Linked DNA regions of Diceros bicornis minor. The protein of the gene in region 1 interacts with the protein of each later gene in a biochemical or structural test. Links are inferred from orthologs where the notes say so. Each region holds a gene or a part of one and is shown on either strand. Other genes may lie near its edges.

Region 1 (3,747 bases):
TATAACTGCATTCCACTGCATGATGTTGTTTTCAGATGGTGCACCACTGACACCCACAGGTGGGTCCTCTTGCAATCTAGAAATCCAGAGTAGTAATTTTAAAAGTTGAACATGAAGGCCACTAAGAAGGCCCAACAGAACACCTATGGACTCTATACTATCTACTCTGAGACACACACTAAATCCATTTTCTTGTTCTTGTGCTGAGCTGGAACAAACCATGACTTAAAAAAAAAAAATCGACCAGGTATATACTTATTAAATATCTCTCCAAATTATCTAAAATTCCAAAGGGCTTAGGAATCATCCCTCTTCAAATATCACTGAGTTTAAGATATCTCTTCAAGAACTGAGGTATACAGACTGCCCTCAACCAGAAAAAAGACCCTCGAGTGCAAAAAATATTTTTACAGCACAATCAACTGTGCTGCTATAAACACACAAAGACTGAGCCCTAATCACAGCTACTTGTACAACATGACCACCAAAACAAAAACCGCAAAACAAAAAAAATTCAGTGTAAGTACTCAACGACTGAAAATACTTATATTCAGTTTCATTAGGAAACTGGTTTTAGGTAGGAAAGTTACTTTATCCCACCAGCCTCAATTAGCAATGGCTTTTAAAGTAATCAACGCTTTAGTTAAGCTGCCAACAGCCCCTATTTTAAAGGCTCTGCACTAACACTAAATCCACCTCTTACATGAGGAGACTCAATACAAAGCTACCTTCCGATATTTGTGACAGTGAAATTCTTGTAACCTGAAGACCCTTGGAAAATTACCAGAGGCGCCATGTGTTCAACTCAGAATTAAGGAGAGAATCCCTTAAGAAAGCAGGGTAACAATGGACACAAACTGGAAGTTTCATTACCTGAGTTTCATTCACGGGCGCTAATCTCAAGTCTACTGATTTCAAGCGTTAGAAGATGTTTGCACCAAAGAAGCATCCCCTTTTAAAGACTACCAACTCAGGAAAAAATAAATGCTACATTATACATATAGATATATATGTAGTGACTGTCATGTGATATGCTACTTTGAAATTAGTCCACATAAAAATCGTTCTTTTTAGTCAACCTCAAGTAGATTAGGCCACGATGAACAGAAGCCTTAGAGGAATTACGCTGCCTGACGCCCACGAAGGTAAATGGCTAAGAGAAGTTACAAATATATTCAATGATAAACGGGCCAAGGCCCAAAACAATGGCTTCCAAATGCCTCACCTGCGGCTTTTTAATGGCGAAGTCGAGAGATTACTTCCTGAGCGACTGATATTGTTTTTACATTAGATATTGTGTCTCAACTAGGGAAGGTCTCCCCAGAAAAACATTTAAAATGCGCAGAGGATCGCATTGCTAAGTTTTCTCATTTTATTCCGTACTTCCAGGTATTCAAAGGTAAACAAGTGAAAAAAAGTCACTTCCTCCTCACTAACCCCAACACCTCCTAACAAAACCCTGTTTTACAAAAGGAGGCCCAGGGAGTATCAGGTTAGCGCCAGCCTCAAGGAAGGCATTTTTCCAGACTTTGGAGGCTATAGATAGGGCTTTATACACCAGGCCACAGAGCTGAATTCCAGAAGGTACTGGCAGCCGGGGTTGCCAGCCCGAGGCCCAGGTCTCTAAGCCAGCACTCAAGGTCCTTTCAGGCGGGCGGGGAGAGTCGGGTTTCGGAGGATGGGTTAACCACCTCCAGACCACGCGCTGCAGACCCCACCCTCACTGCGAGGGGGGGGGGGACTTCGCCCCAACCCAGCCCCTCAGAGGAGACCGCAGGGCCATCGAACAAAGCTGACTAGTGCAGCAAGCGGGGAAAAAGCTTCTGCAAGGGCTCGCTCTTACGGGACAGGGAGGGGGCACCGGGGAGGTGGGGGGATGAGGTACAAGCTCTAGGATGAGACGTCGGGCAGCCGGTCCAAGTGGGCAGCAGAGAATCCTAGGACAGCCCAAAGCCATCTTTTTACTTTTGGAGGCGGGGATAGGGTACCGAAATTTTTTACGTCGGAAGAGTGAGCAAGCAAGGATTGAGGGACTGCGGCCGGGAGCTAGGACTGGGCTTCCGTCGGTCCCGCTGGGCCCAAAGCCGGCCCTTAGGGTCAAGAGAGAAAGGTGTCCCGGATCCCCGCCCTGCTGCCCCGCAGCTTTGGGGAGGAGCCGTCAGCCGGGCGAAGATGAGGGCCCTTACCGCTTGAAATCCCGCATGAGCCTCCTCCGGGCCGGGGTCGACATGCTCCCCACCTGCCCCGCGATCAGTCTGAAAAAAAAGAGTCCCGCACAGCCCCCCCCACCCCCCGGCGCGGCGGTCGAATCACTGTGGGTCACCGCCGCTGCCGAGGTTGCACAAACAACCCTGCAATGACGTCTCCCTCCGCCGCCTCCAGATCCCTCCGCCCTTCGCCAGTACCACAGGGTGAGGGGTTGCGGAGGAGCGGGGGAACGTATGAAAGCTCGTTATAGGAGCCTTTCAGCAGGACTCTATATTCATTTTGACTGCCTGAACTAATCAACAAATTAGTGTTCTCCGTTCTCAGACTGGAGGTTGTGGATTAAGAGACACTCAAACCGAAACACCACCGTGTCTCTCCCCCCTTCACTAGTTTAGGCTCGACCGGGTGGGGAGAGAGGAACGCATCCGGGGCCAGAGATTTCAGGGAAAGGAGGTGGGATGACGTAAGATCACGTGACCTATGGCGACGTTGTCAACAATCCACCCCTGAGGGGGAGGGGGCGAAGTATCTAGAACCACGTGTCCCTATGACGCTATTAGAACGGATCACGTGAGAGTGCTGCTCTGGTCTGAGTCTCAGCCAGGTCTATGAAGCCGGTAGTTAATTTTATTGGGCTGAGGGCAGGGATATACCTTTATTAGTTTTCCCTCCAGTTTGTCCCATAAACAGGGACGGCAATCGAAGAGTCGTGGTGGAAGCAAAAGCTTGTTTTGCTGCTTAAGTCTTTAAAAGGGTCCCAAAATAATTTGGATTCAAAATCCTCTTTGGTTGGTTCAATGGCTTATCTGGTGTATGGGGAAGGCAGAATGAAGGGACCTCAGTTTTTGCTAAGTGCAGCATTGAATGCTGAGGCCCGCACAAAGTAAAATCTCCTGAAATGCTTAGTTAGGGCCACCAAATAGCCTGTATGTGCATTACAGTGGGGTTTCCAGGGTTGGAAATTCTGGGCAAAGATAAAAGAACAGTGTACAGATTGTCCAAGATTTGTTCACAGTCCTTATGGAATTATGGAATTTTGTTTTTCCTTTATGGGTCTGCTCTCATTTGAGGATGTGTGGAAAAGTTCATGGATTTGGCCACAATGGGGTACCTTGTATTTGTCAAGAAATGTTGGGATGAGATCTCAAGAGAGCATGTGGATGGGTGGTTGGTTGTCAGAGACACCTAAAAATAGGATTCAAATCTGTGGGAGAGATCAGGCAGATAAAGGTGGGGGTTATATATCTAGCCTGGATAACTCATTTCAGGTTTTCTATGCTAGCAAGTAAGGGGCAAATGGGCCTGAAATGCTCCCCACCAGGGGGCTCAGAGGTGTTGACCCCTGGGGATTCTGTTTCCTTCCCTCTATTGCCTCCAATTCCTGGCCTTAGGGCTTAGCTGGTCAGAAGGACTCTGAGCACTTTCATATTCTTTTGGGTAATTCTTCAGTCCAAGGTGGAAGAGGAGGATGGAATAAGGACCTTAGCATTGCCCCAAGTTGCCCATAGTTCTACAGAACTAGAAAGGGTTAACTTTCCT
Region 2 (3,747 bases), on another chromosome or scaffold:
TCGGTAAGTTGCATATTTATGTATTTTGCCCTTTTTCCTATTGGAATAGTCTCATTTGGGGTTTTATCCTTTAGTCTGTCATGAATGTTGTAGACATTTCTTCCCAGTTTTTGTTTACTTTTTAACTTTGTGTAGTTTATTTTATATGTAAGTTATTAATTTTGATAAAATTACTTATCAGTCTTTTTATATTTTCTGCTTTTGGTGTCATGCTTTAAAAAGCCTTCTCCATCCCAATATTAAAGAAATATTTACTTATTTGCTTTCTTTTTTAGTAGTTAACTCATCAATTCATTGGGAATTATTCTGATATATGATTTGAGATGAAGATCTGACTTAATCTTTTCCCAAACAGTTTATTTCTTTCCAGAGTGTTATGAGCTTTATTACTATTTTTCCCTTTGTTAAAAAAAATATTTTAACATCATTTGTTTTGTAAACAATTTAAAACAATATAAATGAAGCTAACGTAGCTCTTGACCACCTTCCTCCTCTCTTGGTCCTCAGAGCTAACTATTATTAGTTTGTTCTCTTCCCTTTCAGGCTGTTTCCTTCATATTTACATGTAGGTAAGCACAAATATATAGTTTGTGGCAACTTGGTTGTTTTTCCCCCCTCAATTAATTTATCTTTATCTTTTTACATAAATCTATCTTGTTTTTTTTAAAGAGCTGCATCGTGTCCCGTAATGCAAATGTACCACATTTATTCTGTCTTCCCTCTACCGAAGAACGACTAGAAGGTTTCCAATTTTTCATTTCTTCAGCACCTCCCCCCAAAACGCTGGGGCTCAAGCTTTCTTGTGGCAGGTACAAGTGGCCACAGACTACATTCCTAAAGATGGAAGAGCTTTGAGTACTTTTTCATTTTGCGGGCTCTGGGGAGCCACTGCAGGTACGTCGAGAGACAAAACAAACCCAGACCAACAACCGGGCCAGGAGACCCAGTACAGGTCCTTGGCCTCTCACAATTTTCTTCCTTTCACAATGGACGCTGAATTTGTTTTTTACCTCGCAGACGCAACGGTTCCCAGGACCGAAACCGAATTTACAGCCACTCACCCACCAAGCACTATGATTAAGAAATTACGGGAAGGAAAACCTCCAGCCGTACACGCCACGCCGTGATGCTTGCTTCCGGGAAGCGGAACGGAAGCCGCTCTTCGATTCTGCGTCAAACTCGACTTCAGGGGCCGTCGTAAAAGTGTCGCCCCTCGTCTCTCGAACCGGTCACAGGTTTCCGCTTGTCTCCGGCCGGGGGTCTGGAACTACGGGCGTCAGTTTCCCTCAAGATGGCGGAGAAGGAGGCGGTGGGTAGGGAGAGAATGGAAGTCAGCACGGAGTTGCCCCAGAACCCTCAGCGACTGGCGTCTGTAAGTCTTTGTGGGCAAGTTCCTCCCATCCTCCCCAAGTCCGTCCCTACCGCGCTCAGGAAGATGTGGGACTTCACCCCTTATGGAGGCTCTGGGGAGGGGAAGTCGTATGGATTGATCTGGAAGGAAGCCGCTTAATAAAAAGTTAATCATCACCCACACTCCTGCAGGCCAAGTCTACGGAAGATAATGACTTTGCCATTTATTAGTCTTGACGAGCTCAAGCGTGTCTCTATCCTGAAGTAGAAAGAACTGCTGATGTTATTAGAGGGTCTGGTGTGGGGGCTGAGGCGGGGTTACAGGAAGAGCCATTTTTCCTATAGACGCAGTGCTAACCTTTCTTGGTGGTAGGAATCCAGGACGCAGCACCTAGTGTTGTATTGCATAGCTGGCTGGGTGGAGCCTGATAGTGGCAGGAAATGCTGCCACTGTCAACTCATGTCAAGATATGGGGTGTAGAAATTGTAGTCCTTCATTCTAACGTCTTGAGAACCCCAGGCCTAATCCTCAGTGGAAAAACCTGTCATCTGTCGCTGCTATTTAAAGGTGAAGAAGAGACTTCCAGACATTTCAAATCAGCAATACCTTTAATTAATTTCGGAATGTATACTTTGCCCTTATATTTTGAAAGAAGGGGAGGGCAGAGATAGTGAGCAAATTTGAATCAATAGTCTGGCTACAGGGAGAAAGCTGACTGAGGAGTAAGGGGTAATATTAGGGAACGCTCTGGATGTCCCCAGGCATCTAGTGAGGAGATATATAGAAAATATTCAAATGTTGATCACTGCATGATGTTGAGTTTATCAGTTTGTCTTTGTTGCTGCATATAGAAAAGTGTGGGATGTACACCTCTTCCTGAAGTTTCTCTGGTTTGTAGTTTTAATAAAAGCATTCTTGAAGTATTTTAACCCTGCAGACACTTGAGCATTGTTTTATGAGAGAACAGAGTGAGCTCCAGAAATAAGAGACCGGCTGGGAGATAAAAAACAGGTAGGGAGGGAGTTGAAATAAAGGTTTGGCCACCAACTAGGGCAGTGCTTGCAACCATCCTCTACCCCAAAAAACAGTTCAACCTCTTCACCTGGTATTGAAGAAGGAAGCATCTATTTGAGATGATAAGAAATGAGAAGACAGGGAAAGTTTAGAAGCAACTAAAACATCTGGTCTTAATGATAGCTTGTGCTTTGTACATCTTAGAAGGAGTGGAGAAACTAGGTGCTGTGGTCAGATGTGTTGCTGTAATTTTGTATTGCCAAAGGTAACTAGTGCTGATTTAAAGCTTTGATATATTAATTCCTTCCAGGTGGTACAGTAAAACCTTATCAATCTGGACTTCACTTATTTGGAATTGGAGATAATGGTACAGGAATAAAGCTAGAATTAGGAGGCAAACTCTTTACTTCAAGAAATATTAGATTTCTTTAGATAAGGCTTTGAATTTTGCAAAGTAGTAGGTTGATTTCAGAAGTGTAATAGCCTCAGGGAACTCACAGTCTAGTGACAGATAAGACAAGTGCTCAAAGAATTGTAATACAAGATACGGTGGTGGTAAGTGGATGAAGACTTGTGACTGTTAAGCCTCATGATCACTTTTTTGGCTTAGATCTATCTACTTGAGGACTCCAGATATCTTCCTACTTTCCTTTTCTTTTTAAAGCTACCATCTTCAATTTTATCCTGACAGTGGACTAGGATACTGACTTTCCAGTTTACTTCTTTGCTGTTAAGCAAAACAAGTTCAGAGATTCTTTAACATTTGAATGATTTGTATTCTAAATCACCATTCGGAGACAGGGAAAACAAAAATAATAAATATGGGACAGTTACAGAGGTTTAAGAAATCTTACCAGCTTTATTAGAATCTTGTTCCTGGTTATAGTTTCTGTTATTCTTAAATCAAACTTCCTTCTTAGACCCCACGTCATTTTTCTGTCATATTGCTATCAACAAGCATGAAGGCTCTCAAATTCCTAACATCACCTAACATGCAATTAGTGTGAAATAATAGGTATGAATTATCGGACATTTATAAAAGCCATTGCTTAAGAATCGTTAGAGAAGTTGATTCTGTAGGTCTGGGGTGGGGTCCAAGAATTTGCGTTTTCACAAGCATGGCCTGCTGATTCTGAAATCCTGGTCTGTGGGCCACATTTTGAGTAAGACTTAGCTAGACATTTGGAAGTTCTCAATATAGAATTGACAGTCGAGGTTGTGGGAATGGATAAGATCTTTGAGGAGGAGAGATAGAGAGAGAAAAAGAGAGACAGTGTGTGTGTGTGTACATGTACGCAGAGAGAGAGAGACAGACACACATGCACAGAGGGAGGGAGGGAGAGGGAGAGAGGAAGAAGGAGGAGAGACTGGAATGATTGAAT
Region 3 (3,747 bases), on another chromosome or scaffold:
GGCTAATTGCATCTCTGGGCCTTGGTCTCCTTATCTGTAAAATGGGGATGTCCTGGCTGTTTGATAGGACTGTTGGGGAAGCACTAAAGGAATAATGCAAGTGTGAAGTGTAACTTTCTCCCGAGGTTCTTCACACTCACCACATGCAGATCCGGGGCTGGGGCAGCGGCGGCTGCGGAAAGAAAGCGGATTGGGGAAGGCAGAGCTATGTTGTCCCTGGCCCCTAGTTCCTGGCCCATCGCGAATATCCAGCGGGCCTGAGAACGAGCTAACTTCTCATTTAAGGACTATGTACAAGCAACGCTGGCGGGCTGGGCTTCAGCAGGACCTACATATTATTCATGAGCGTATTAACAATCGGGCTCACACACCCCTGACTCTTCACTAAGGCAGCCCGGAAAATGTCTCGAACGTTAGTAAACATAACGACGGGTGACGCCCTGTTGGGGAGCCTTTTTATAAACATTCATGAGAGGACCAGTCTGTCCCGCCCTCACCGGGAACAAGTTGGCTGCAGGATCATCATCTGCTTCCACCGAGGCCGCGGTCCCCGACTCGATCCGCACATCTGTTCCCATCCGCGTAGCCGATTCATCCACTGAGCTGAGGTTTTTGTCGGGTTCCCGCCGCTGTTCGGAGGGCTCTTCAAGCTCCGACTGCATTCTGAGTCCTAGGAATTGGCTGGACTTCTGGCGGATCATCTCGTCGCTCCTCCCGCGGTCCCGCCTCCGTTCCGGGACAGCCGGTTCTCGGGCAGCGACTGCCAAGGCCTGGCCCTTTAACGACGCTTCAGCCAATCTATGCTGCAGAGACGCCAGGGGCAGCCAATGCGCGAGGGGCGTCTCCCTCGGTCTCAACGGTGACCGTTGCTAAGGAGTCTCGTGGAGGAAGGGTGAAAGTGTAAAGCGCTTGCCAATCAGTGAAAAGAGAGTGCGCATGCGTAGTAAGTTGCAAGCCCCGTCCCGCTGCCCTTTCTTCAAAGTGGCTAACAGGAGGCAGGCGATGTCATCAGGGCTAGGGAGTGAAAGTGTAGTATCAGTTACCATGGGAACCCTTTACTGGCCAATCACCGAGCGAAAGAGGAAGTGTTCAGGAAGACACCAGACCGGACCCGAGAGGCGGGACAAAGCGCGACCAATAGAAACAGGAAATGAAGGAGGTTCGCCACATCCGGCACTGCCTCTGGCGCCTGCGCTCTCTGCTGGGGAGGCCGGTGACGTCCGGTGAAGTCCAAGATGGCGGGGCTCGGTTGATCTTGTTGCCGGTGAGGGGCCCGGGGCCGGCGGGGCGGGACCCAGCGTTTGTGTGCGGGGGAGGCTCGGGGTTGCGGAGCACCGGCTGCTTCCACATCTGTGCGCTCTGTCTTCTGCAGGTGACAGACGTGCCGCCTCCGCCTGCCTGACGTCCCTCGGGAGACGCTGCGCCGCTCCTCGCCGCCGCGGCCATGTCTGGGCCCGGCAACAAACGCGCCGCCGGCGACGGGGGCTCGGGGCCCCCAGAGAAGAAGCTCAGCCGTGAGGAGAAGACCACAACCACACTTATAGAGCCCATTCGTCTTGGGGGCATCTCTTCCACGGTTCGTGGGCTCCTGCCCCAGCCCTCACAACTTGCCAGACTCCAATCTCTGTTCTTCTCCCAAATCTTCCGGAACCTTACTCCCAGTCCCCCAAGCTTAGCAAGAGCCCCTTTACAGAACACTCTGTTGAGGGAAACCGAGGACATGACGTCTGCCTTCCCTTTACAGATAGGAAAACAGGTGCCCAGTGCGCGTGTGACTTGTCAGAGACTTCAGAGTTAGAAAGAGGCAGGAGAACATGACCCGCCTCACAACCAAGACGCTTTCTCTGTGGGTACCTGAGCCTCTTTAAATCCTGCTAGCAGTCTGGGGAGCAGTCTCCCTTTCCCATCCATTCCATTTGTTTTCCTCTGTCTCTCTCTGGTTGGTTTCTTGGGCCCTGCTTGATCCTGTCCTTGGCTTCTTTGTTTCCTTGGTAGGAGGAGATGGACCTGAAGGTGCTGCAGTTCAAGAACAAGAAACTAGCAGAGCGGTTGGAACAGCGACAGGCTTGTGAAGATGAACTCCGAGAACGAATTGAGAAGCTGGAGAAGCGGCAGGCCACAGATGATGCCACACTCCTCATTGTCAACCGCTACTGGGCCCAGGTGGATGCCCCTCTGCTTGCCACGACCTGGCCTTAATCCAGCTGCCAATCCTCAGACTCCTCTGCTGGGAAAGGAGTATCATGCTGGGGAAGCACCTGAGGGATTCATAACATTTTTGGTGCTTTCTCCCTTCAGCTGGATGAAACTGTGGAAGCTCTTCTCAGACACCATGAGAGCCAGGGGGAGCTGTCTTCAGGGACAGAGGCGCCTGGGACCCAGGAAGGGCCAACACGTGATGAGACCCCTCTTACAGAGCCAGGGACGTCGGGTAGGGCCAGAGCCGTAGGATCTGGGGAGCTTAATTAAATTCTGGGAAAGGTCCTGGAGAGGAGGGGACTTTGATATTAGGCTCCTGAATTCCCTGGCCCCGTTCTAGATGGAGGAGACAGAAATAAGCAAAAAGAAATACTGTTTTTGCCACCAGGGAGGAAGTGATTTTGAACCATATGTTAAAAGTATAGGGCTCCTTGAATGGGAATTAGGGTGTGTGTACACGTGTGTGGTTCTCATTTAGATTGGAGAGGCAGAGAAGACTTCCCTGAGGAAGTGATTTGGGAGCTCTGTGGGCTTGAGGAGATTACTTTACCTCCCTGAACCTCAGTTGTTTCACTTTCAAGATGGGGATAACGGTGTACTACAGGCATTGGTTGTGTTGATTCAGTGAGCCATAGAGTGTTGAAGGGCTTGGTCTGGAACTTGGTGCAGAGTGGTGGTAACTGCTGCCTTTATCCTCATGAGAGTGTGTCCTTCCTTCCCAGAGACCCTGCCAATGCAGCTGCGGCCCCCACTCAGCGAGCCAGCCTTGGCTTTTGTGGTGGCGCTGGGTGCCAGCAGTAGTGAGGAGGTGGAGCTGCAGCTGCAGGGCCGTATGGAGTTCTCCAAAGCAGCCGTGTCCCGTGTTGTAGAGGCCTCAGACCGCTTACAGCGCCGAGTGGAGGAACTGTGTCAACGAGTATACAGCCGAGGTTAGTTCTTTGTGCCCTCACCCTAGAGATGTCCATCGCAATTTGCATCTTCACAGTATCCCCTCCTCAATGCCTCTAGCCCAAAGGCAGCCAGAATTCCCCAAGGATTAGATCAGCCATGTTCTCAGCGGAAGAGTTAGGTTGTAGATGGGGGCTCCAGCTGTGAATCCTGGAGTTGAGCTCTAGAGATATGGGTGGGAGGAGCTGATGCTGGTGGGGCCACCCCCTTCTGGCTGGAGACCTCTTTGGAGCACTGTACACAGATCTTGGTGGCAGTTGCTGATCCACAAGGCATAGCAGCAAGTGCCCAGGCTTTGCAGTCAGATATCTTCTCCCAGCCTTAGTTTTGTCACTCTAGCCTGGGCAATCTGGGCAAATGGCTCTCCTCTCTGAGCTGGTTTCCTCCTTTGTACAGTGGGGATAAAGACTCCTGGCTTTGTCATGAGAAATTGGCAAGACAGCTGGTGGATCACACTGGGCACATAGCAGACTCCAGAATGAGTTAGTACTTTGCCCCATTGCCCTGGACTTGGCTCTTAACCGAGCCCTGACTTCTCAGGGGACAGTGAGCCCCCCAGTGAGGCGGCTCGGGCACGCACACGGGAGCTGGGCCGTGAGA

What was found.
Region 2: the proteins of UBE2B (region 1) and UBR1 form a complex in vitro, tested with the Homo sapiens proteins (2 studies listed by BioGRID and IntAct, with this or other methods). The link is inferred for Diceros bicornis minor from reciprocal best matches to the Homo sapiens genes UBE2B and UBR1.
Region 3: the proteins of UBE2B (region 1) and RNF40 form a complex in vitro, tested with the Homo sapiens proteins (3 studies listed by BioGRID). The link is inferred for Diceros bicornis minor from reciprocal best matches to the Homo sapiens genes UBE2B and RNF40.

Annotation. Positions count from the first base shown.
Region 1 is NC_080740.1:53,504,458-53,508,204, reverse strand, and holds the start of UBE2B (ubiquitin-conjugating enzyme E2 B), read right to left. Parts: upstream 2,299-3,747; 5' UTR 2,231-2,298; coding exon 2,187-2,230; intron 1,708-2,186; exon of another isoform or gene 1,226-1,707; intron 77-1,225; coding exon 1-76. UniProt on the Homo sapiens protein: E2 ubiquitin-conjugating enzyme that accepts ubiquitin from the ubiquitin-activating enzyme E1 and transfers it to a E3 ubiquitin-protein ligase. In vitro catalyzes 'Lys-11'-, as well as 'Lys-48'- and 'Lys-63'-linked polyubiquitination.
Region 2 is NC_080744.1:40,574,210-40,577,956, reverse strand, and holds the start of UBR1 (E3 ubiquitin-protein ligase UBR1), read left to right. Parts: upstream 1-1,044; 5' UTR 1,045-1,291; coding exon 1,292-1,372; intron 1,373-3,747. UniProt on the Homo sapiens protein: E3 ubiquitin-protein ligase which is a component of the N-end rule pathway. Recognizes and binds proteins bearing specific N-terminal residues that are destabilizing according to the N-end rule, leading to their ubiquitination and subsequent degradation.
Region 3 is NC_080765.1:21,217,889-21,221,635, reverse strand, and holds the start of RNF40 (E3 ubiquitin-protein ligase BRE1B), read left to right. Parts: upstream 1-800; 5' UTR 801-1,264; intron 1,265-1,372; 5' UTR 1,373-1,444; coding exon 1,445-1,576; intron 1,577-1,610; exon of another isoform or gene 1,611-1,846; intron 1,847-1,995; coding exon 1,996-2,163; intron 2,164-2,298; coding exon 2,299-2,431; intron 2,432-2,921; coding exon 2,922-3,128; intron 3,129-3,687; coding exon 3,688-3,747. Other genes in the region: CFAP119 (cilia- and flagella-associated protein 119), read right to left, coding at 141-172, 498-701.